Linked DNA regions of Caenorhabditis elegans. The protein of the gene in region 1 purifies or fractionates together with the protein of each later gene. This does not show direct contact. Each region holds a gene or a part of one and is shown in the gene's direction. Other genes may lie near its edges.

Region 1 (6,995 bases):
TCGATTTGTTGCTGAAAATCTGTTGAACGGGAAGTGGCAGACAATGTGCGGGCAGGTGGCTCTACCATTCGCTTGCAGTTATGATCCGAATGGTAAGCGCCATATCTCGGTTCATTTGCTAGATATCAAAAAAAAAAGTTAACTTCATACTTGTAGAGAAATAAATGATACATATTTTGATAGTTTAAAGTTTTTTGATAAAACTAAGTAAAACCGAGATATTAGCGGTCAAAATTAGACAAAAAAATATTTTCAGAAAAATTCACGACTGTGGCAATTGAAACCTCAACTACTACAAAACCAAGTAAGTTTGGGAGCTTGCACTTTGAAATTGTAGTTAAATAGAGTTGTAGGTAGAGAGGCATGTAGTAGGCGCGTTGATAGGCAGGCATACGATAGGCGTAGGTAGGCAAGCATGTGAAACTTTTCCAGATTTTAGGCTTTTTTGTCCGTCTGAAAAACCATCTGAATGGTAAATTTCAGATCATGTTACTACATCAACAATTGAAACTTCGACTACAACGAAATCAAGTGAGTTTCAGATACTTTTCTTGAAAAGTTGAAAAGGCACAAATTTAAGTTGATTGTCTATCAATACAATTCCAGAACCCAGTGTGACTTGCTTGTTCATGTATGACACCCAATCTTCTGGAATTAGCACCTCTGCGATTTCTACTTATAAAACGGTACTAAATTCCTTCATATTTCCATTCAAACCATATTTTTCAGTACTTCAACTTTGCGATTTTCATAGCAAGCAAACTGAATGACAAGACAATGTTAACCGGGTACATTGATAATTTCGGATACTCTACTGGCCTCAATGATCATGAGAATTATCCGACTGATCATTATAATAATTTGAATAACATACCATTCCCAATTGACGGCACTGACGATAATATCGATCTAGATTTGAAAGAGTTAGTTTTAAAGTTGCAGTTTTGAAGTGCGCCCGACATTTTCCGGGTTCATTGTTCTAAAAATTTAAGCGTTGACGGATCTCTAGCAACTGCTTCTTGGACTCCACCAGTCGCAGATCAAACATGCATGATATTTATATCAGCTGCGTGAGTTTTTGTGAAATTGCACTGAAAAACTGATTTTTTGCTGAAACTTCCATTTTCCAGCCCAGAAGCCGAATACGGTGGTACCACAATCAAATCCACCTACACCTCCTTTGGTACAGTAGTCGGAGTACTGGTTGGTGGAGCCACTTCAATTCCTGGGCTCTCAATTGACACAAATGTGATTGCTGCTCCAGCGTTGTCGGATTCGGACGCCGATGCTGTTGTGAGCAAGCTCCTGGAGCTTTTGCTTTGAGTTTAAGCCTGTAAAACTATTTTGGAATAAAATTGTTTATACTATTCAGTCCAACCTTTGATACGTGGCCGCTAAAAGAGCATAGTTCGGCCATCAGTTGATTTTTACAAAACCATAAGTTCCATTACATTTCAAAGTACTGTTTGGCTCTCAATTTGCACGTAGCTAGTGCGATGAGGAATTTTCCTCTGACTGCCCTAACTAAACTCTATCGTGGTTTTTAACCCGCTTTTTCGAGCTTCTTATCAATTCCTCTTTCTTTTTTTCTTTTCTCGTAATATTACCATCCCTTCCAGCAATTTTGAAAATGAAACAATTTCTACTAATTTTACTATTTTTTACTTCTTTAGCTGCTGCCCAACAGTGTTGGGATAGTTCAGATAGACTGATCAACGGGAGGTTAGTATTTTAACGGAAAATTGTAAAATAAGCTGTTAAGTTCTATAATTGAGAAATAAATTGTTTAAATATATGCAATGCAAAAATTAACTTAAAATAAATGTTTCAAGCTCGAGATACGAAAATATTTTTTTTAATTCCAAAAAGTTGAAAATCTGATAACTATTGTGTTTTTTCAAGTGTACTTTGAGAGTAGTAGGCACAAAAATTGTGAGTAGGCGCGTAGGTAGGCAGGCAGGCCGTGCCTACTTGGATGGCACACCGTATGTTTCGTGTATTTTCAGATGCTATAAACTTGTCAACCAACAACTTTCCTACCAGGACGCCCGGTCCTGGTGTCGTTACCAGAATTCCGTGGTATCATATTTGGCAACTGTTTCGGATCAAATAACGGCGAGCTTTTTGGCATGTAAGGTTTTTGAGAGTTAATGAGTGGTTATAGGTAGGCATGAAGTAGGTGTCAAGGTAGGCGCGTGAGGTGGGTACAAAGGTATGCAGGCATGAGGTAGGTAGATGTGATGTAATCGGGTGCGGTGGGTTTGTAGGTATTTAGGCATGATGTAGGTTTGAAAATACACCATTAGGCTAAAAATAGACACGTAGTTTTGCTTACATGAGGTAGGCATAAAGTATCCAGGCATGATCTAGGCACAAAATAGGTACATAGGGGGGATGCAGGCCTGAGATAAATAGGCGTGATGTAGTCAAGTGCTGTTGGTTAGGAGGTATCCTGATGTTGTCACGAAAGTACACTAATAGGCACGTAGGTTTGCATACATAAGGTAGGCATAATATACATGAGCAGGCATGATGTAGGCATAAAGTAGGTACAAAGACAGACAAGCATATGGTAGGTAGGCATAAAGTAGGTATGTGAAATTGGTGTAGAGCTGACGCATAGGTAGACCTGAGTCATGAAGTAGGTACGTAGGTATGCAGATATAAAGTAGGTAGGCAGAATGTAGGCATGAGATAGGCATCAAGTAAACCGGTAGGTAGGCTCGTAGGTAAGGCCATAGGTAGACTACAAATCCAATTTTCAGCGTACGCCGTCACCGCATTTGGCTCAAACGAGGGAAGCTTCTGGATTGGTCTAAGCCGCTCAAGTTCCACATACAAATGGGATGACGGAACTCCCCTAGGCTGGACCAATTTCAATTATCAAAATTCTCAAGACTACGTGGCCGAAAGTGTGACGAATGCCAAATGGACCGCCTACAACAGTGAAACAGAACTGAAATTCGTGTGCTCCTACTATCCACTGATGCCAACCACTAACTTGGCGTCGTCTACAGATGCACCGCGTACTACAGAGGCATCTACTTATTGGACTTCCGAGACACTGACATCGTCGAGCACTTAAAGTCTACGGCCAACACCCATATTTTCCAAATTTCAAATTTTCTTATCAATGCTTCCTGTTACTTATCACCCAATATTATTACTTTTTCTGAAAAATTTTTCAGTTTTATTTTGTCATGAAAAATCTCATTTTACTTACCTTTTCCTCATTTTTCGCTATTTCTCATTGTCAGGCACAAAAGTGCAGTGATGATTCGGACAATTTAATTAACGGAAGGTAATCTAAATTTCAAAATTTTCAACAGAAAAAAAAAATCAATAATCAGATGCTACAAACTGGTGACTCAACAGCTCACCTACTCGGATGCTCGTGGCTTTTGCCACCAGGCGGACCCGGGGTACACTCTGGCTACGGTATTGGATAAGTCGACGGCTAATGTTTTGTCAGGTAGGGTAGAGAGGGTTTAGGGGCCTGCCTGCCTACCTACCTGCCTATTGCCTATGTGTCTTCATTTTGGCCCGATGCACGACTTCAACAAAAAAAAAAATTAGTTTTGTGTACAAATTTTGTAATTTTGAATTTCACGCCAAAATTTAATTTCAATTTTTTTAAACTTTAAACTTTGAACTAGGACTCCCAGCTGAGTAGGACGTGAAATGCGGGTGCAATGATGTACGAAAGGTAGTTATTTGGAGCGGCCGACATGTTCGGGGTTCCGCGCCGCACTATACATTCGACAACATGCGGCGTGGGATCATAGAAGCCCTTCTTTGTACCACAGTTTTTATTTTCCAGAAGTTTTCGAAATTTTACAATTCTAAAAAGTTTTAAAAACTTTCCAAATTCGCGTCAAGTGTTCACAAAATTCTATGAAAAATTTTGAATCTTGCGCCAGAATTCAGACAAATTTGAAATTTACCTTGTTTAAGCATGAAAAAGTTTATTGGTTTTTTCGAATCGCTTCAACATTAAAAAAACAATTTAAAAAAAAAACCAAAAATGCCTCTATTTTTTGGTTTTTTTAGTTGGAAAGCTACGCGAAAAAAAAATATTCAAAATTTTCGAACAAGTTTCCTTAAAATTCAAAAAAAAAACGTTAAACTCCAAAATTTCCAGTCCTCGCCCATTCCGTGTTCAACTCCAGCAACGGTGGGCAATTCTGGATTGGTTTGAGCAGAAATTCCACCGGGAGCCCATGGACATGGGATGACAAAAGTTCCTTCGGCTGGTCAAATTTCGGAACTCAACTAGGCCAAAACTATGTGGCACAGAGCAGTACGAACTCCAAATGGGGCACATTTGGTAGTACTGATAAGAATTATTTCGTTTGCAGTTATGACCCAGCTAGTGTGCCTACCACTGCGAAACCTTGTGGGTTTAATACTTGGAAACACTGTCAGAAAATATTTGAAATATTACCTACTTACAGTATCTTCTGTAACATGTCTAATTATGTATGACACACAGTCTCTCGGAATTGATCAAAATGCAATTAATTCTTATAAAGCGGTACGAAATCTTTTAGCGTTGTATTTAAACATTGGTGGTTCATATCTTAAGCGTATTTAAAATAGGGAACAAATATCAACCAACAAAAGTATTTGTTGTCGATTTTTCTATATTTTGATGATCAAAATATTTTGTAGCTTAAAAATAAGATATGATATGAGCTGTCAAAGTTGATAGGTTGATGCACCATGTGTAGAAACTAGTAACTAGGCTCTTCAATAACTTTTAACTAACATTCATAGCTATTCGTTTTGCTATGTCCTAATAGTAGAAACTTTGCTATAGCTCAAAAATAAACAACGATAGGCACCGGTGTGAAATCTAGTGTTTTCAATTTCGGGCCTTTTTTATCTCGATTCTTGTGAAATGTATCAAATAATTGTTACCAACCCAACAAATTATTGATCATTTGTTGTTATTTTTATTTTTAGAATTTGACATTTTTCGCTAGCATTAAAATTACACAAAACATGAGCCACAGAAGTTGAGCGGTCGATGCAGAATGTTAGAAGTCTAGTGTGCTCAGGCTCAAAGTCTGATGCCTCCAAATTTATTGAAAAAGTATCATCAACTGATAAAATATTTATGAGTTATTATTCTATCATTTAATAGTAAAATGCGATATTAGCTGTCAAAGTCGAAAGGTCGATGCACCAAGCTAAAAATCTAATGGGTTCAACTATGTAGTTACTAAAGTAAAACAATACATCAGAGATTTACTAACTTTTCAGTACTTCAACTTTGCCCATCTTGTCGCTAGCAAACTGAATGACAAGACAATGCTAACCGGCTACATTGACAATTACGGGTACTCTGCTGGGCTTAATGATCATCAAAACTACCCTACTGATGATTTTTTTGATTTAAGAGGAATTCCGTTCCCAATTGACGGCACTGACGATGATATCGATTTAGATCTGAAAGAGTTAGTGGGGATTATTGTCCTTAAAAGTAACAATCGTTTGAAATTCAGTGTCGACGGATCTCTAGCAGCCGCTTCTTGGACCCCACCAGTCACAGATCAAACATGCATGATATTTATATCAGCTGCGTGAGTTTTCGTGAAATTGGACTGACAACCAAATACTTATAAGCTCTCATTTTCCAGCCCAGAAGCCGAATACGGTGGTACCACAATCAAATCCACCTACTCCTCCTTTGGTACAGTAGTCGGAGTACTGGTTGGTGGAGCCACTTCAATTCCTGGGCTCTCAATTGACACAAATGTGATTGCTGCTCCAGCGTTGTCGGATTCGGACGCCGATGCTGTTGTGAGCAAGCTCCTGGAGCTGTTACCTACAGCTTAACTATTTTTTCCAAATTTACTTGGTGTACCGAGAAAATAAAGATCCTTCTGTCCAATTGAACATGTGCCAAATTGCGTATATTAATATATCAAAAGATATCAATCACAGTTGTGTTCTAATACACAGAAATAACTTGAAATTTGAAATATTCCCGATAAAACAAATTAATAAAAAAGGCCACATTTTTTGGTAAAAAAATCAATTTGAAGTTTAAAAAAAAAAAATCTTCGTAAAAATATGTCATTACCAGAAAACTTGCCATTTTAGATACCAATTGCAATTTTGTTCTAATACACAGAAATAACTTGAAATTTGAAATATTCCTGTTTTTTTCAATATGCAACTAATCATTAAAAATTTTGAAATTATTTTTGGTTGCTCATATTTGTGCAGACAAAAAGTGTCCTAGCAATAAAAATTGCAAATTTTTTGTATTTTCAGATGAGTGTACAACCGTTTCTGTAGCTACGATATTCATTTCAAAAAACCCGAAAGTTGTAAAATAATGAGTAAAGTAAAATAATTGGTGAAGCCAGAGAGTAAAATAATTGGTGAAGCCAGAGAGTAAAATAATTGGTGAAGCCAGAGAGTAAAATAATTGGTAAGGCCAGAGAGTAAAATAATCGGTGAAGCCACAGAGAGTAAAATATAGTGGGAAGTCACAGAGAGTAAAATAATTGGTGAAGCCACAAAGAGTAAAATAATTGGTAAAGCCAGAGAGTAAAATAATTGGTGAAGCCAGAGAGTAAAATAATTGGTGAAGCCACAGAGAGTAAAATATAGTGGGAAGCCACAGAGAGTAAAATAATTGGTGAAGCCACAGAGAGTAAAATAATTGGTGAAGCCACAAAGAGTAAAATAATTGGTAAAGCCACAGAGAGTAAAATAATTGGTGAAGCCACAGAGAGTAAAATATAGTGGGAAGCCACAGAGAGTAAAATAATTGGTGAAGCCACAGAGAGTAAAATAATTGGTGAAGCCACAGAGAGTAAAATAAATGGTGAAGCCACAGAGAGTAAAATAAATGGTGAAGCCACAGAGAGTAAAATAATTGGTAAAGCCACAGAGAGTAAAATAATTGGTGAAGCCACAGAGAGTAAAATATAGTGGGAAGCCACAGAGAGTAAAATAATTGGTGAAGCCACAGAGAGTAA
Region 2 (6,987 bases), on another chromosome or scaffold:
ATAAAAATATATAAAAGCTGATTTTTTCAAAAATTCAAAAGTATGGGAAAATCATATGGAGTCATTCTTTTTTATCTCAAAAAACTGTTCAGCATAGTCAAGAATACCAGCAAATACCAAACAGAGTATATTAGCTTGTACGGAAGTATTTTTTAGAAAATTGATAAAAATATATAAAAGCTGATTTTTTCAAAAATTCAAAAGTATGGGAAAACCATATGGAGTCATTCTTTTTTATCTCAAAAAACTGTTCAGCATAGTCAAGAATACCAGAATATGCCTATCAAATTATAATAGTTTGTACGGAAGTATTTTTTAAAAAATTGATAAAAATATATAAAAGCTGATTTTTTCAAAAATTCAAAAGTATGGGAAAATCATATGGAGTCATTCTTTTTTATCTCAAAAAACTGTTCAGCATAGTCAAAAATACAAAAAAGAATGACTCCTTATGATTTTCCAGGACTTTTGAATTTTTGAAAAAATCAGCTTTTATAAATTTTTATAAATTTTTTAAAAAATACTTCCGTACTAGCTATTATACTTTGATTAGCATATTCTGGTATTTTTGACTATGCTGAACAGTTTTATGAAATAAAAAAGAGTAGCTGATGGTGGAACGAGTTGAGCAGTTTCTGGAACCAGGACAGGCTGTTGAACATCTGGAACTGTTGGAGCTGGAGCCGGAACTTCTGGCTGTTGCTCGATTTGAGCTGGTGTTGCAGCAGGAGCCGGAACAGTTGGTTGTTGCTCATCAGCGTTGGGATGAACTTCTTTTCTTAGTTTTTGTCCTAGTAGAACGAGTGCTTCTAGTACTTCATGTGCTTTTTGGAGCATCATTTTCATTATTTTGCAAGTAAAAATCGGTTAAATTTTCCTTTTTAATCCTTGAATTTTTATTCAGGAAATGGTTGTCATGGAAACAGATAAGCTTATATATTCATCACATTAAATTCAACTTTTAAATAGAAAATAATGCTTTTTATAGGTATTCATAGTCTACTTTTTCGCGAGAACTGGAGCAAAGTTGGTGGTGGGTTTTACTTTTTCTTAATTCAGAAAAAAAAATTTTCAGGTGTCGAATATGAGGGAAATCTGAAAATAAAAGTGGAAGTTGTTGGAAACAAAGCGAAATTATCGGAAAATGGTGAATTTTTGTATAAATTTTTAAATACTTTGTATAATAAAATGTGAATTTTTGGTACCGATGATTCAGATTCCGGGCAGATGAATTTTTAGCAGCTTCAGTATTGGGTTTTTGAGATTTGAGATGTTTCTGCCTTCTTCCTATATTATACTGTAGGAGTACTGTATGTGATAAACGGTAGGGTACTGTAGGTGGTAAACGGTAGGTGTACTGTAATTTTTTGTTCAAAAACTTTTTTTTTCCCTCTCATAACTTTGCCGTCGTTTGAGCTATTCTGATTCTGAGCCAAATATATGAAACCTTGAAGATTTCTTAAGCGAGAGACGAAAAAAATTTTGAAAATCGAGTCATACATCACAGAGATAATCGACCGAATAGAAAAATAATGCCTTTTTTGATTTTTGATTTTTCAACTTTGAGCGTTTGTTAATTGGTTTGTTTAAGTTTAATTTTAATTCTGTTTTTTTTAATAGACTCAGAATTTGACGCTGAATTCAAATATGTAAGATTTTTTTCCAGCTTTAAAAATGAAAAAGTTATGAAAAAAAACTAACATTTCATCTCCTCATCAAAGTTTTCGAAATATCTTTTATGTTTTTACATTTTCTTTTTAAAATTGAAAAATCTTTTCAGCATATTTCTTTCATCTTAGAGAAACTGAAAATTCAGCGCCCAGGGCGCTAAATAATTATTCAAAATTTTTAAATTAGAAACAACTCCTTAGCATATTCCATCAATCTTAGAAATAGTTCAAATCAGCGACGAAGGCGCTGAATAAGTCTTCAAAGTTTTAAATTAGAAACAACTCCTTAGTATGTTTCTTTATTTCAGAAACTTTGAAAAATTCAGCGCCGAAGGCGCTGATAACTCTTAGGAATTTTTGAATTTAGAACAACTCCTTAGAATATTTTTCTAATCTTAGAGAAGATTCAACTTAGCGCCCAAATAATTTTTAAGAATATTTCAATGTGAAACAACTCCTTAGAATATTTCTTTAATCTTAGAGGAACTGAAAACTAAAGCGCCGGAGCCGCTAAATGATTTTTCAAAATATTAAATTAGAAACAAATCTTTGGAATATATTTTGAATTTCAAGGTGAACACACTTAACCCCAACACAGGTTTGAGGCAAAGCCGAGAACCTGCGCCAGCTACCTTGTTGATACTTTAGAGCGAAATAACCCTATCCCCACTCCCGAAGGGATAGCGCACTTTGTGCGCTAGTCTTAAAAATTTTTTTTTTAATTGAAGGTTTACAAACAAATTTGAACTTTTAAAAAGCTTTGCTATGTAGGAAAAAGGATACTCAATTCAAGAAATGGTATGTAGAAAAATCGATTTAAAAAAAGTTTTTTGATTTTTGATTTTTAATTTTAAAAGTTTAGTCCCAATAATTCAATAAAGTTTTTCCAGAAATAGAGCAAATTCGAAAAATAGCTGAGCTAATGGGCAATCCAACGGAACCGGACGAAGTTTCGGATGAAAAAGACGATAGTTCTGAATCAGACTACTAGTTGCTGAAAAAATAATTTATAAGTTTATTTTAGTCACATTGTTGATAGTTATAAATATTTTTTTGAAATAAAAAAAACCAAAAATGTGTTTTTTGCACTGAAAATGTTGCGTTGGCTCAGTTGCAGGGTAAACCCATCAATTCATAACTTCAGCAAGAAGTCCAAATTGTGTTAAGTTCGAGATCCCTTTAGAAAGCAATCTTGCACTTATTTTACTTTTTCTTAAATCTACAGTTCAAATTATTAAACAAAAATATCTGAAATCAAGAAAAGTTTATCTTCACGGATGCTGAAAGTTTATAGACTTGTGGAAGTGTTCTATGATCACTTCTCATGTTGCACTGAGTGGACTTTGGAGACGTGCATAAAGCGCATGACTCTAACGCCCACGCGGCCTCTGAGCAGGGAGCGTCACGCCCTCACGAGTATATAAGCCGACTAGAGAATAACATCCTCAGTCGAGAAAGACCTTGCCTGCTGGCGCCGGACGAAAGTAAGACTCTCGTCGTCTGGCACAGCAACGACTCAATAAATGCTTTAGCACACAATCAAAGTGTTTTTGCATGATGTTTAACCATAAGCTGTGGCACCGGTTTATGACCGTTAACAGACTCCTCCAGTATATAAGGTTGTCCAAACAACTTAATTTTTCATATTTTGTGCAACACTATCTTGCTGAAATGAAAGAAACCGGCCCGTGTTGTTACATTCTGCTCATTTTAATTTTTCCGCCAATCGCCGTCTACGTGAAAGAGGAAAGATGCTCTCTGTCAGTTTGGCTCAACCTTTGTTTCTGCATCCTCTGCTGGTTTCCGGGGGTGCTTCATGCTATAGTCGTCTGTTTCTGCTTGAATTATTTATTTTATTTACTTACTATCAAGAAATGAATTCTTGAGATTAATTTATTTAGAAGAATATAATACTGAATTACAATTAAAGAGAAGAAAAGGGGAAGATAGCGGTCTACATCTAGAAAGGAAGCATTGGTATTATATAATATAATATAAAAGAAGGAACTTATATAGGTCTGTTTTTAATCGAATTATAATGATATTGGGGTTGGCGTGAATCATATGAATAGGAAAAGAAGGGAAACGTTTTGGTTTGAATCATAAGGATCAAATATCATATTCAAAGAGGGAAAGATTTGACACTTACATACAATTAGATTAATTTTTCCATGTACAGATTATCTCAGACCACAGGATATGTAGTTGCTGACTAACATTTCACTGCTAATGTGTAAGCGGCCACTGATTGAATATTGTGGGAGAATTAAAATTTGGACTCTGAATGAAATTGCTTCATAATAAAGCAAAAAGTTATCCAAATTTCTATATTTATCATGTTTTTGGATACTGTAGTTAAAAGGTATAAACGCTTTATATTATATTTTAGTTTTCAAAATACATATATAGGGAAAGCCTCATGCAAATTTGTCTAGAAAAATGATTTGAAATTGTTCAAGAAGTATGAAAATGTTAAAAAGCGTACAGTTAAACAAATTTAAGATTTTGGAATTTGTCAATCAGTAGGTTTATATTAATCTTAAAAATGATAAAATCTGCAAACCCGGATTTTAAAATAATATAATAAAAAAATAATAAAAATTTTAAATAATATAATACATAAAACTATAGAACAATTTCCAGAGAACTGTTTAGATTTTTTGTTGAATAGAAAGTTTCCACAGAAAATTTCAAAAACCGCCTTTGGAGCAATTTAACTGGTAAAACACGGAGCTAATAGTAAGCAAAAATTTCAAATTTTTTCACAAAATTTCAATCACAAATATTTTCTAAAAAATGTTAAAAATAAAACAAAAAATTACTAATTTAAATTGCTTTGTTACGTGACACATTTTATGATGACAAACATACTTGTTTATCAGACATGAAATCTCAATCTCAGTTATTTTATATTTTTAATGGCAAACAAGAAGAGTACGAGTAGCTGCTATGAAAAGCCAATCGCTCAGAAATTATTTTATGGATTAGCTGTAAGTTTTTGGATGCCTCCGAAACCGAAATCCGAAACCGAAAAAAAAAGAGAGTTTTCAGGACCATCCAAATCACGGTGTATTTTCGTCGATTCTGAAGAAAAAGAATCGCTTGTTTTCGATGACTGATGACGTGAAGAAGCTTTGCAATCAAGTTGAAGCTTATAAAGAAGCCGCAGATCGACTTCATCAGGCACTGATTCAAATGTTCGTTGAGAATCAGGAACTTATGAAAGCTGATACGAATTATCAGTACGCTGGGCAGTATCTAAAGACGTATCAGGCGATAAATCAGAAAGGAAGAAAGTTGGGTACGAAGGTTGACCCCAAAGAAATGGATGTGAGTTTAGTTGCAGAATTGATCAGAAAAGTGACGCGACATTCAGTTTCTAGAGCGAATCCTGTTGAAAATCGAGGAAGTTGGAACGACTTTTTTGCACCTAAGAAATTTGGTATATTTTCTAGGCTTGGATTTTTAGGCTTAACAATTTAGGCTAAGGGCTTTTAAATGTTAAAATGTAGGCTTAGGCTTTTCAAATAAACCATTTAAGCCCAGGTAATCAGGCTTAGGCTCCCCAATTTTTTGGCTTATGGAATGGCACCTGATAATAAGGACACAAATTTCAGAGCTTAGAACCGGCTATCCAAACCTTGCTCAATCTGGATTCCATACAAGCAAAGCAAGTCCAAAGGCATCTGGAAAACTTGTCGGCGTTGACAAAATTCATTGGCGTCGACTATTGGGAGTACGCAAGGCTTCGAAAGAGTAAGAATAAAAGGGTCTATAATATGAATCTAAATAAAAAATTTCAGTTTATTGGCTCTCGCTGGAAACCTACGACGACGCAATCAGTCAGCAGAATAAGGAGCGAACGGAGCAAGCCGAACTCGCGGCGGGAAATGCTCAGACATGGAGGAATGAGTGCAGACAGAAGGTTATTGACTTTATCAATAAGTCGATTAATGAGCAGAAGGGGAAACACGCGGATGCAGTTTTGAAGTAAGTTTTGGAACTACTCCCCGAAAAAAAAAAATTTTAAGGTTTCGTGACGATTCAATTCTCTTCCACAAATCCATTGCTGAAGCTATCCCAATATTTGATGATAGAGCACTGCCAAAGAGTAAAGAAAAGCCATTGAAATCCAAATGAAACTTGTCCGAATAAAGAATTATGTGATTTTTATTGCTTGCAACTTCAAATGTGTTATATTTGATTTTAGTCATCAGTTTACAGCCACATCAGCCACAAGGCACCCCTGATTCCACCAAAAGGTGCGCGGCGATTGCCGACGGGTAATTCTACAATTTCAGGCAGAGATGTGTTTTCCCAATATTTTTCATTAAATTTTAGTGAAAAGATGTAGAAACTATGTGATCTCTCCCATAATAACGCAATTGCCGCGCAACCCGGATTCTATCCCTCTCCATCGCCTCAACATTCGCCCGCTATTTCACTTTTTTCGAATGGCATTTTGGAAACGTTTTTTGAATAGCTAAGGTTGCTATGGGGTGGCTCATCACGTCCCACACAACACCCCTAGCTTTAACAATAAATTTACGCTGAAAACAGAACAGAAATGAATCACATTTTATTCTCTCAAGTGCTATAGTCTACTTCAGTGCTTCAACCTTCTCGACATTATTTCTCCTTTTTTCCATCTTTCTTCTTATCCAATTTGTTTGACTTGCAAGCGACTGGTTCCTGCAGAGTTTCTCGAATTTCAGCCAATTTTTGTAGTCCCGCTTTGTACCAGTGTTCTCTTCTGTCATCTGGACAAGTCAATCGCGTAGATGTATAGAATTTCTGGAAAATGTCGTGATTCTCAATCCAAGATTTCATCCATGCAGTTTCCAACGCAGCGATCGGGATCATTGTGAACGTGTTTTCCTGGAAATTATAAATGAAATCCAGAACTAGGAACCGCAATAGACTTGATAGTAAAACTCCAGTAATAGGACTCATTTCAAAAAAATGTTGAACTTACATCTGCAACCAACTTCAAGCAAACATAGAGTGCAAACTCAATCTGTGCAGTCGCTACCAAATCAATTGATCTTGTTTTCTGAGTTCCCATCCAAGATCCAGCGATCGGAAGCATCGAGTCCAAATTCAGGGAGCTTCCCATGATGTGCATCAATGTGTCAATCACTGAAAAATCATTTCATAGATAGGTACTAAAAGGAAAAAAAGTTCCCGGCTTCCCTACCTCTCACCCGGAAAATTCAATAAATGAGAAATCAGTAAAGACGAGAAAAATTATATAAAGAGCAATTGGCTAATAAATCATTTTTCTAATATTTCAAGTGTTTTCAACCTTGCATCTCAT
Region 3 (5,247 bases), on another chromosome or scaffold:
TGCAGATCAATTTTGAGTCCTCTATCTATAAAATTGACCATTTTAGAGGAGTTTCAAAATTGTGATTTTTTGCCATAAATTGCCCATTTTTGCCACGTTATAGTTTTTGATGGGTTAAACATAGATTTTCTGAATTCAGCATACACGAATTACCCGTTTTCAACAAATTTAGCCAAAAATTTTTTTGCCCAATTTTTTTAAAGCCATCTAATGACTGTCCTTTTTTTTGGGCAAAAAAAAAGATTTTTCTTAAAACGTTTGGAACCACTGGAAATTGAAAAAGGGCAATTTTTTAGTGTTTGTAGATCAATTTTGAGTTCTCTAACTAAATTCAAAATGAACCATTTTAGAGGAGTTTTAAAATTTGTGATTTTTTACAATAAATTGCCCAAACAATATGTTTTTAAAAAAATTTTTAATGATTTTTTTTTTCAATTTTTCAAAAATCAAAGAAATGCCCAAATTATATTTGAATTCTCGCGCAAATGAGTGACGTCATTTTTGGCTAAATTTATGCGTTTTTTTTTAAAATTTTCTTCTATATTTGATTTAAAACACAAATTCGGCAATTGTTTTTCAAATTGAAAACTTTTTTCCGTAACATGGAAGAAATTGGTCTAAAAAACGGAAATTTAATATTTCTTTATATTTTTTTTGTTTTAGAAAATTGAATGTTTGAAAAATTGACAAACGGCGATTTAAATCAAATGTAGAAGACATATCAAGAAACCCCTCCAAAATTAGCCAGAAAAAGCGAAAATGCATAGAATGACGTCACTCATTCGCGCGGGAATTCAAATTTAATTCGGACGTTTTTTTTTTCAAATGGAAAAAAATTATTAAAAATTTAGAAAATTTTTAAAATTTTTTGACAGTTATATTTGGTTATTACGACCTATTTTCTGTGACTTAAACCCAAAAAAAATTTGAAAAAGCTCTTCTTCTCTTTTCAAAGTGGGGTTTTTTTCGAAACGTGTCCTGCAAAAAAATGTAAATTTCCAAAAAATCGTTTTTATTTCTCTTATTTTTCTTTTATTTTGAAATTTTAAATTTTGTGCTCTTTTTTATCACAATGCTCAAAGACCACCGATTTCCAATTCCCATATTATATTTTTGCTTAGAGACGTAAGCCTCAAATAAATAGACTTAGACTGTTAGAGACCTCGCTTTTTCCACTCAATTTTGTCGATTTTCGAATCCACCTTTTTCAATCTTCCAGAAATAAAATGCCACAATACAAGCTAACATATTTTGATCTACGTGGATGGGCTGAGCCGGCTCGACAGCTTTTCCATCTCTCGCATACTCCATACGATGATATTCGGATTCCAATGGCCGATACTGAAGGGAAATGGGAGAAAATGAGAGACAGTAAGTTCTTAAAGTGAAATGTGTTGCTTGTAGTTTGTAGTTTGTAGTTTGTAGTTACTGATGCCACACTTAATTTGAAAAAGTTTGAACTAAAAAACATTAAATTTCTTGGCTTTCGGGGAAAAATCTTTTTGTAGTTTGTAGTTTGTAGTTCGTAGTTTGTAGTCTGTAGTTTGTAGTTTTTAATTTGTAGTTTGTAGTTTGTAGGTGCTAGTTTGTAGTTTGTAAAAGGTTTTTTGGTACGAAAGTATTTTGAAAAATTAATTTTTGTCAAAAAAATAGTTTGTTACTTGTAGTCCGTAATTCGTATTATGTAGAATATAGGTTGTAGTTTGTAGTCTGCAGATTGTAGTTTGTAGTTTGTATATTGTAGTTTGTAGTTTGTAGCTTGTAGAAAGGATTAGATATTTCTGTTTTTTTTTCGTATAAATAGAAAGTCACTACATCCAGCTTTAGGGTTTCATAAGATCTTCAGGCGTACGCGCCTACTTTTTGCCTGCCTGCCTACGTGCTCTCCATTGTGACTTCTTGTTTAGCGCAGATTTCAAATATTTGTGTTAAGTATAAAATGTTCGATTACAAACTGAGAGTATGAACACACGATGGCAGACGTAGGCATGTAGGCAAGCGTGCCTACAAAGAAGACCTGCCATAATTAATTCAACTTCCAGAAACCCCATTTGGTCAGCTCCCAGTACTCAACGTTGATGGCTTCGACATCCCCCAATCTGCTGCAATTTGTCGATACCTTGCCAAGAAATTTGGTTATGCCGGAAAAACTCCAGAAGAAGAAGCGTGGGCGGACGCCGTTGTCGACCAATTCAAAGACTTCTCCGTTGCTTTTAAAACACTCCTTTTTGCCACAAGGGCCGGGAAACCAGAAGAAGAAATCCTCAAAATCCGCTACGAGATTTTCAATCCAGCTCGAGATGTCTACTTTATTCTTCTCAATCGAATTCTCAAAAAGAGCAAGTCAGGTTATTTAGTTGGTGATGGGCTCACATGGGCTGATCTAGTTATAGCTGATAATTTGCACAGTCTGGAGAAGCTTCGAGCCATCGATGATGATGATGAAGGACATCAGAATTTGAAAAAGTATAAGGAGAAAATCTATGGAACCCCAGATTTGGAGGATCATATTGCGACGAGAATGGATACAGAAGTCTAAATTTTGAATCGCGTTGAATTTTTAAAAACTGTGATAAAAGATAATAAACATATTGTAGTATTTTATGCGGATATTTTTTTACCGAAATACTTTTTTTTGAAATAATAGTGCGAGAAGTGCAACAGGGCTCCATATGATTTTTCAGTACTTTTGAATTTTTGAAAAAAACAGCTTTTGATGTATTTTCTGAACTTTTTAAAATAATCTTCCGTACAAGTTAGCAAATTTTATTTAATATTTTTTGGTATATTTTATCATGCTAAACAGTTTTATAAAAGAAAAATGAAGCACTTCATATGATTTTTCAGTACTTTTGAATTTTTGAAAAAAAAACAGCTTTTGATGCATTTTCTGAATTTTTCAAAAATTTTTCCAATTTTCTGACTTTTTGTTTTGTGACCAGTGTTTCTTCGCAAAAACACAAACCACTCTTCTATTTCTCTATTTCTCTCACTCTCCCTCCCCTCAATTTCGGAGATTTTCGAAACGACTTTGTGTATATAAAGTACTACTCAATCATCTCCCATCAACAAACAATGCCACAATACAAGCTCTACTATTTCAACCTTCGTGGATGGGCTGAGCCGGCTCGGCAGCTCTTCAAGCTGGCTCACGTCGAGTTTGAGGATGTTCGTATTGAGAATGGAACTCCAGAGTGGGGAGCGTTGAAGCCAAGTGAGTTTTTGAAACATTTTTAGTGGTATTTGTATAACTGTCACGGATTTTGAGAATTTTTTAAAAATCAGATACGGTGGTCCACTCTAAGCCTAAGCCTATGCCTCGGCCTATGACTATACCTAAGCCTAAGCGAAAGCCTAAACCTAAGCCTAAGTCTGAATCCCAACCCAGGAATCTTCCAGAAACCCCATTTGGTCAGCTCCCATTCCTCTCAGTCGATGGCTTCGAAATCCCCCAATCCGCTGCAATTCTCCGCTACCTTGCCAAAAAATTCGGCTACGCTGGAAAAACATCAGAGGAAGAAGCGTGGGTGGATGCAATCGTAGATCAATTCAAAGACTTCGTCACCCCACTACGCCAACTCATCATGGCTCAAAGATCCGGAAATGCGGAGGAAATCGAGCGAATCCAAAAGGAGGTCTTCGCGCCGGCCCGGGATACATTCTTCAAAATTCTTAATGGAATTCTTGAGAAGAGCAAGTCAGGATTCCTAGTCGGAGATGGTGTAACTTGGGCTGATCTGGTGATAGCTGATATTTTGACAACTATGGAGATGCTGGGAGTGTTTGATAAGCACGGAGAGGAGCAGAAGCTTGCAGCGCTCCGTGAGAAGGTTAATGAGATACCGGAGATCAAGGAGCACAACTCGTCGAGACCAGATTCTGTTGTTTGATATATTATGTGTATGTTAATAAAGATTATTATATCATAATGAGTGATTCTAAGGTAGGTAGGCACGCTTTCAGGCTGCCTACCACCTAAAAAAGATGGTTTTGACAGTAGGCAGTAGATCAAACGTATGTCTGTTAGAAGGCAAGTTATCTAGGCACGAGGCAGGTGTAGTTTGCCTTGAAGGCAAGCGGGCAGTCTGTGGCCTACGTAAAGGGTCTAACATAGACAGTAGGCATGGGTGTAGGCACAAAGAAGGCGTAAGTCACACCTGGGGAGTTTGCGATCAAAAGAAACATCCTGCCGTCAAATAAACCTATGCCTGGCTGCATGCCTTCCATACAAGCCTGACTAAATGCCTGCAAGGTAACCTATGTTTATCTGCATACCTACAAGACTGCCTATGCCTGCCTGCAAGCCTATGAAACTTTTGAACTTTTCGACAGAGATCATTCTAGAAATCCCATATTTTCGAACAAAAAAGTCATGTTTGTCATCATTTTTCCTACAAAAGACCATGAATCGTCGCCGCCATATCCAATTACAAATAAATCGAATTATCTTCTGAGATCAATATCAAGATGGCAGTGACCTCCCCGCCGCCATCGCATAAACCACGTTGTTTCCCCCCGTCGGGAAAAGAGAAAAGAGACGGAGACACGTGGCATGGGAAGTATAAAAGGGCGGACAGGGGGACACTGGCAGACGACTATCAGTTGTGTGTTGACTGTCTGTGATTGTGCTTGCTCTTTTGTACGATGGCCGAGTACAAGTTCTATTATTTTAACGGACGAGGATTGGGAGATGTTTCTAGACAGGTTAGTGTGGTGGCCTAGAAAATTGAATTGGTGGCCGAGTTTTTTCTAAAACTCGGTAACGTAGCAAATCACGGCACGATCAGCACGAAAATGTTATTTTTACGATTTTTCGACATTTTCAACGTGGCCTAGAAATCAAGGAAACTCGGCCACTTGTCCAAAGTGAGTACGTTTTTTTTTGTTGAAAATCCGCAACCTAGGAAGTTTTTCGGCTAAAACCATGACATAGAATACTGCTGGCCGAATTTTAGCTTTTTCTAGGCCACTTTGCTTCCAGGCCACCACGTGGTGTCAGGCTGTCCTATTACGGTTTGATCTACAATAAATGTGGGAATAAATTTTTTTTGCCCAAAAAAATGTGACGTTAGCACGTTCTTAACCATTAAAAATGCGTCCAAATTCCCGCGATTCTCGTAGATCTGCGTAGATCAAACCGAAATGGGACACTATGACACCACTTGGGCCGCGTTTGCAACAGTACTCGGTCTCGACACGGCAATTTTTGATAAATGAAAAAAGGTGTGCGCCTTCAAAGAGTCGATT
Region 4 (5,357 bases), on another chromosome or scaffold:
GACTATGAAGCCAGTTGTATTCCCAAAAAAACCAGTGATTTTTGAGCACGGGTACGGAATTGAAGACGACATTGAAGACGAAATAGATGATGAAGAATTGGACGACGAAGAATATGAGGAGAGTGGAAACGGAAACGAAGATGAAGTTGAAGAGGAAGTCGGAGTGGAGGAGCAAGAAATTGAAAACAACTTCGCTTATAAAAAAGTCAAGAGTGAAATTTCGTGCTCGCCATTCCTTAAAGAGCATTCTGTACATTCTGTACTGACAAATAATCGCGCAAAAACTGGTACAATTGATTCAAAGGCTGGGCGCACAGCCTATCGAAAACAGAAACTTCGTGAAGGAACATGTTGCTCACAAAGCAATGAGGCAACCGGGGACAGCACAGACAGATCAAGTACCTCCGCGGGATTTGATGTTTTTCAGCATCTACAAAACAGAGCGGTCCAGAAAACTATGATTGGTAAGTCACATTGAAACTAAATCTTGAGTTTAAAGCAAATTGTAATTTTCAGAGCAACTGGAATCAGCGGTTCGAAATCAAGATGTTATGGAAATGGGCAACGTTGTGAAGAAGGGATTAGAAAATGGAACTCTTTCAGAGATCCAGATAGAGGTGCAAAATATCCAAAATATCCAAATATTTAATCTTAATATCTTAATTTTAAGGAATTTTGTAAACATACAACTCGTCCAAACTTCTCGATCCTACAGTTCGTCCAGGCTCTCAGACAATCTACAGAAGACGAGAAAGAGTCTATTCAAATTGCACAGATGATGATGGCAGGCCGTAATTAATCAATTTCATATCCTAATACTTTTTTCAGTTTAAAATGCAGGATCCTAAGGATGGGAATTACACCGCACTTGCAGCAAACGTGCACACCCTGACATCGAAAATTTCAAAGCAGTTGAACGCTGGATGTATCGTGAAACGAACACTTACGATGAACCACACAATTTCACAAGCTGACGGGTTTCCTACGTGTAATCTCACAGATATTTATAACTCTGAACTCTTGATTGGAGGTGATGCCGTCTCGCAACTTTCAAATTTCTATATGGTTGCCTTGAAAACTGTAAGTTGACATTTTGATATATAAAAATAATAAATTCAATTCAGATGCTGGAGCCTTCTTATAAAATCTGGGCATTTACTTACCGACCAAGCTGTGTTCGCCGTGTTGATAGACATTTTCAAGAGTTACCACAAAAAGTGACAACAGCGATTATTGGTGCGTTTAAGATGTGAACAATTTCTAATCACAAAATCATGTTTTTTTCAGAAGTCGCATTCGATATTGTTGGAGTTTATTTGCCGGTTGAGCTGTCATACGGTTCGATTGATAGGGAGCATGAGTAAGACATGAACCAACTTTAAACAATTTTGAATTATTCATTTCATTTCTTCTAGATTCATCAAAACGCTTGGAGAAGGAGCAGAACTTGAGGTTCAGCGCCGTAGGGACGAAAGAATCACAGTGTTCAAGAACGCAGTAGAAGCCCTTGGCAAAGCAATGTAAGAAATCTCGTAAAAATTGTAAAATGTAAAAAAAAATGATATGATTTCAGGAACAATCTTCGAACATATCACTTTGATATTGCCAAAGGAGCACTATTCAACTGCAATAAACCATCTTATTGCGAGCATCATCTCAAGTGGGGACAGGTTCGAAAGTTCAGAGAACAGCATCAGAGGATGGAAACGTCACCAGAAGAAGTTATCAGATTGTAAGTAACTCAATACTTTTAATCGATAAACCAATACATTTTCATTACAGTGCAACCGGTCAACGCAATGAGCATGATGTCTCCGCTGCTGGACGATCGGTCAAAGACTCCACCCACTGAAGCTTAATTTTTCGTTGTTTTTTTTTTGTAATTGATTTTTGTTGTTAACCCTGTTCATGTTTTGTCCTTAAATAAATATTTTCCACAGGAAATCGTCTAAAGAATAAAGTAAAAGCGCGGCATAATTCGCATCTATAATCACCAAGGTCTTGCCCAAGTTTAGCCCAAGTTTAGCCCAAGTTTTACCCAAGTTTTGCCCAAGTTTGGCCAGCTTCTAATCCATGTTAATTTTTCTTGGGTGAAACTTGGGCAAGAAGCTGGCGGTGAATGCCGAGTTCCCCGCAAAAGCTTCAGTTTTTAATTATTTGATCTACCACCTCTTGCACTTTCCCCTGCCACTCTCTCACCTGATACTAGGCCCCCATAAATTTTCAATTTTCTTCCATTTCTCACAAATTTTCTTATCAAAACCTTTTTTAATTTCTTATCAATTAAATAATCTTACAACAGACATCATACCAGAAAAACCAAAAAAAAAAAGAAAGTGCTCGCGGAGCTCACGTGGTTGGCTCGGGCAGCTGGGGGTGGAAAAGCTCGTCGCTGATAAGGGATCACTTTGTGATAAGACGATGATGATCGTGACCTGTTTCAAAGACGTTTTGCCACTTTCGACGCGAATTTTTGGGTTTTTTGGGGGAAAAATTTGTTGCATTTTGTTGAATTTTTAGAATTTTTTATTTACTTTTTTGGGAGTTTTTTCAACAAAAACCCGCCTGCTCACCTCGAAAATTTCCTTTCTTCGTCAGACCTTACTAATTTTTTTTCAGAACCTTCCCCAACTCCTACTATAAAATGAGCCCATCCGCCTCTGATAAGCCTCTCCCACCCCATCACGCTGAGCACATGGCCGAAGCTGTCGCAGAAGCTTGTCGAGGTGTCGAGTGTGGAGATGGTGGACCATTCGGTGCGGTTGTAGTTGATTCAAACGGGAAAGTGGTCGCAAAAGGCCACAATATGGTGCTGGTCACCAAGGATCCGACAATGCACGCCGAGATGACTGCTATTAAGAATGCCTGCAAGGCATTGGGTAGGCACACGAATATTTAGAGCATCTAGTGATAAATTGACATAACATTTGAATTTTACAACCTCGATTTCCTATATTTCTTAAAAAATTTTTTTGCGATTTTTAGGATTTTTTTTTTCAAAAAAAAAGTTGCAGAATTTTTTCTCGAATTAGAGCAAATTTTTTCACATAATTTTACAAGTTAGATAGTTTAAAATTATTTTTGAAAATTGAAAAAAAACAACGATTAACTATTTTTCTGTTAAAAAATGCTAAATTTTTTCGACGTTTTTTTTCGATAAGTTTTTAATTGAAATTCACGTTTTCAGGAACTTTTGACCTATCTGGACATATTTTGTACACATCTTGCTATCCATGCCCAATGTGCATGGGCGGATGCCTTTGGGCTCGATTCGACGCAATTTACTACGGAGCAACTGCTCAGCAGGTGATTTTCATAAAAACTAATTTTTTACACTATTACTGTCTCTTTAAGAGCTTTTATCAATTTTAGTGACGTTCGGGGTTATTTTTCAAACTTTGGGTTACTGTAGCACCAAAAGTACGCAATACACCGGACCTTACGGCAAAATCACAAACTTTTGAAATTTTACCGAATCTGTTCAAACCAGTTATAGACCTAATCTAGAAATTGCCTGTAAAAATCCATAATTTTGTGCATTTTCTCAAGTTCATTAATTTGTGGAAACCCTTGGAAAAAGTAATTTTCAAAATTTTTTACTAAAAAAATCGAATTCTGCACCTTTTTTCAGTTCAATTTAAAAAAAAACTGTGCATTTTGTCGTAAGCTTTGGTGCACTGCGTATTTTCGGTGACACAGTAACCCAAAAAAAAAAACCTTTTCCAAATAAAACAAGTTCTTCCAGGCGGCCGAGATTGGATTCGACGACAAAGCATTCCACGACTTCCTAAAAGACCCGAAAAGCGATGAAATCCGAAAATTGGAGCATTTGGCAGCCGACAACTACCTACTCCCATTCCAAATGTGGTCCAACAAACCGGACAAGACAGAATATTAATTGGAGTATTTTTTTGAAAATTGTTTCGTTAAATAAAATTTGAAAAACATATAAAAAGACAAATACATTGGGACGGTTGGGGAAAAATTGGCAAAATTGGCAAAATTTCAAACTTTTTTTAGGTAACTTTCAAAATCATTTGCTCGGATTTTGTAGCTTTTGGGTATTGAGATGTTCGATATCGATTTCCACCCGCCGGACGTTCAGTTTCAGCCACTTTCATGAAGTTATCGACCTGAAAATTAAAAAAAAAAATTAGAAGAAAATTTGTTTCCTGGCTATCAAATTTTCTGTTGAAAATCTTGTAATGTGCAGGGTTAGAATTGAAAAAAAAACGTTTTTAGTAAAGAAAAGTGCTCAAAGTTTTGTTTTTTCAGAGATATGACGCATTACGGGTTACTTGTGCCCTAAGAGTACGCGATACACCGAATCTTACGGCAAAACGCACAGGTTTTAAAACGTGGCGCCAATCTGTCCCATTGCGGTTTGATCTACAAAAAATGCGGGAATTTTTTGCCTAAAAAAATGTGAAGTCAACACGTTCTTAACCATGCGAAATCAGTTGAGAACTCTGCGTCTCGTTTCCCGCATTTTTTGTAGATCTAAGAAGATCAAGCCGAAATGGGACACTCTGACACCACGTGTTTACCCAAAAAGCATATTTTGCACAATTTTAAAGTTTTGTGCATGTTGTCGTAAGATTCGGTGCACTGCGTACTTCCAGAGCTACAGTAACCTGTAACTTCGCTAAAATCGTCATATCTCAACAACGATTGATTCTACTGAAAAGTTATCAACTAACAAATTGTTCTACACAAAATTTTGCACATTTTATTAGTTCTAAACTATTTTTTAAATTAAATACCTGCAAAGATACAAGAGTTTCAAAAAAAAAATTTTCAATGACACACCAGCGGAGCTAATTTGGTTTTTGTTTTCTATCAAAATTTTATTCTCAAATCACTATTGCATAAGCTTGTGTGAGTGAAAAATGCACATTTATTCATCAAAAAACACACGTTTTGCCATTTTCTCACGTTCTCGCGATTTCAGTGAGAATGCGACTTGAGCCTAAAGTACATTGTTGGAAAAGCTAATACATAAAAAAAATACTCTGAAAAATCACAAAACTCACTATAATTGTGATGGGCAATGCTAAAACCAAGACTCCACACGCGATTGCCCCAGTTGCCACCAGTTTTCCAGCTGAAATTAAAAAAAAATTTTTTTTTAGTGAAAATTGAATAAAAAACTAGGCTTAAATAGTTTTTAAAGATTTTTCATGTCAAAATTTGTGCTCACCGACATTTTTACCCTAACCAGCCTTTTTTTGCGCAATTTAAAAAATCTGTGCATTTTGTCGTGAGGTTTGGTGTACTGCGTACTTTTGGCGCTACAGTAACCCAAAACTTGAAAAATAGTGCCCAAAATATATGCCCAAGGGAACAAAATCACAAGA

Evidence for each region.
Region 2: the proteins of clec-80 (region 1) and Y37F4.1 fractionate together in Caenorhabditis elegans (co-fractionation; one large-scale study listed by BioGRID). This does not show direct contact.
Region 3: the proteins of clec-80 (region 1) and gst-24 fractionate together in Caenorhabditis elegans (co-fractionation; one large-scale study listed by BioGRID). This does not show direct contact.
Region 4: the proteins of clec-80 (region 1) and gda-1 fractionate together in Caenorhabditis elegans (co-fractionation; one large-scale study listed by BioGRID). This does not show direct contact.

The regions. Positions count from the first base shown.
Region 1 is NC_003282.8:2,822,176-2,829,170, forward strand, and holds clec-80 (C-type lectin domain-containing protein), read left to right. Parts: upstream 1-3,188; 5' UTR 3,189-3,200; coding exon 3,201-3,301; intron 3,302-3,350; coding exon 3,351-3,472; intron 3,473-4,141; coding exon 4,142-4,396; intron 4,397-4,454; coding exon 4,455-4,534; intron 4,535-5,265; coding exon 5,266-5,459; intron 5,460-5,507; coding exon 5,508-5,585; intron 5,586-5,642; coding exon 5,643-5,841; 3' UTR 5,842-5,894; downstream 5,895-6,995. Other genes in the region: Y54G2A.37 (C-type lectin domain-containing protein), read left to right, coding at 1-92, 257-304, 484-531, 607-686, 730-923, 993-1,070, 1,131-1,323.
Region 2 is NC_003279.8:10,854,960-10,861,946, forward strand, and holds Y37F4.1 (BAR domain-containing protein), read left to right. Parts: upstream 1-3,127; 5' UTR 3,128-3,686; intron 3,687-3,849; 5' UTR 3,850-4,032; intron 4,033-4,552; 5' UTR 4,553-4,588; coding exon 4,589-4,660; intron 4,661-4,721; coding exon 4,722-5,000; intron 5,001-5,287; coding exon 5,288-5,426; intron 5,427-5,473; coding exon 5,474-5,660; intron 5,661-5,701; coding exon 5,702-5,810; 3' UTR 5,811-5,839; downstream 5,840-6,987. Other genes in the region: Y37F4.4 (Signal recognition particle-docking protein FtsY), read right to left, coding at 550-840; Y37F4.2 (Sec-independent protein translocase protein TatA), read left to right, coding at 976-1,033, 1,076-1,147, 2,561-2,661; Y37F4.5 (START domain-containing protein), read right to left, coding at 6,300-6,548, 6,646-6,809.
Region 3 is NC_003280.10:13,609,123-13,614,369, reverse strand, and holds gst-24 (glutathione transferase), read left to right. Parts: upstream 1-3,003; 5' UTR 3,004-3,075; coding exon 3,076-3,214; intron 3,215-3,399; coding exon 3,400-3,890; 3' UTR 3,891-3,927; downstream 3,928-5,247. Other genes in the region: gst-15 (glutathione transferase), read left to right, coding at 1,227-1,371, 2,043-2,539; gst-20 (glutathione transferase), read left to right, coding at 4,645-4,704.
Region 4 is NC_003281.10:11,023,829-11,029,185, reverse strand, and holds gda-1 (CMP/dCMP-type deaminase domain-containing protein), read left to right. Parts: upstream 1-2,619; 5' UTR 2,620-2,644; coding exon 2,645-2,879; intron 2,880-3,187; coding exon 3,188-3,306; intron 3,307-3,745; coding exon 3,746-3,898; 3' UTR 3,899-3,947; downstream 3,948-5,357. Other genes in the region: Y48A6B.8 (Wsv161), read left to right, coding at 1-464, 517-617, 671-784, 829-1,080, 1,125-1,236, 1,288-1,360, 1,416-1,520, 1,574-1,732 and 1 more; putative voltage-gated potassium channel subunit kvs-4, read right to left, coding at 4,017-4,133, 5,034-5,104.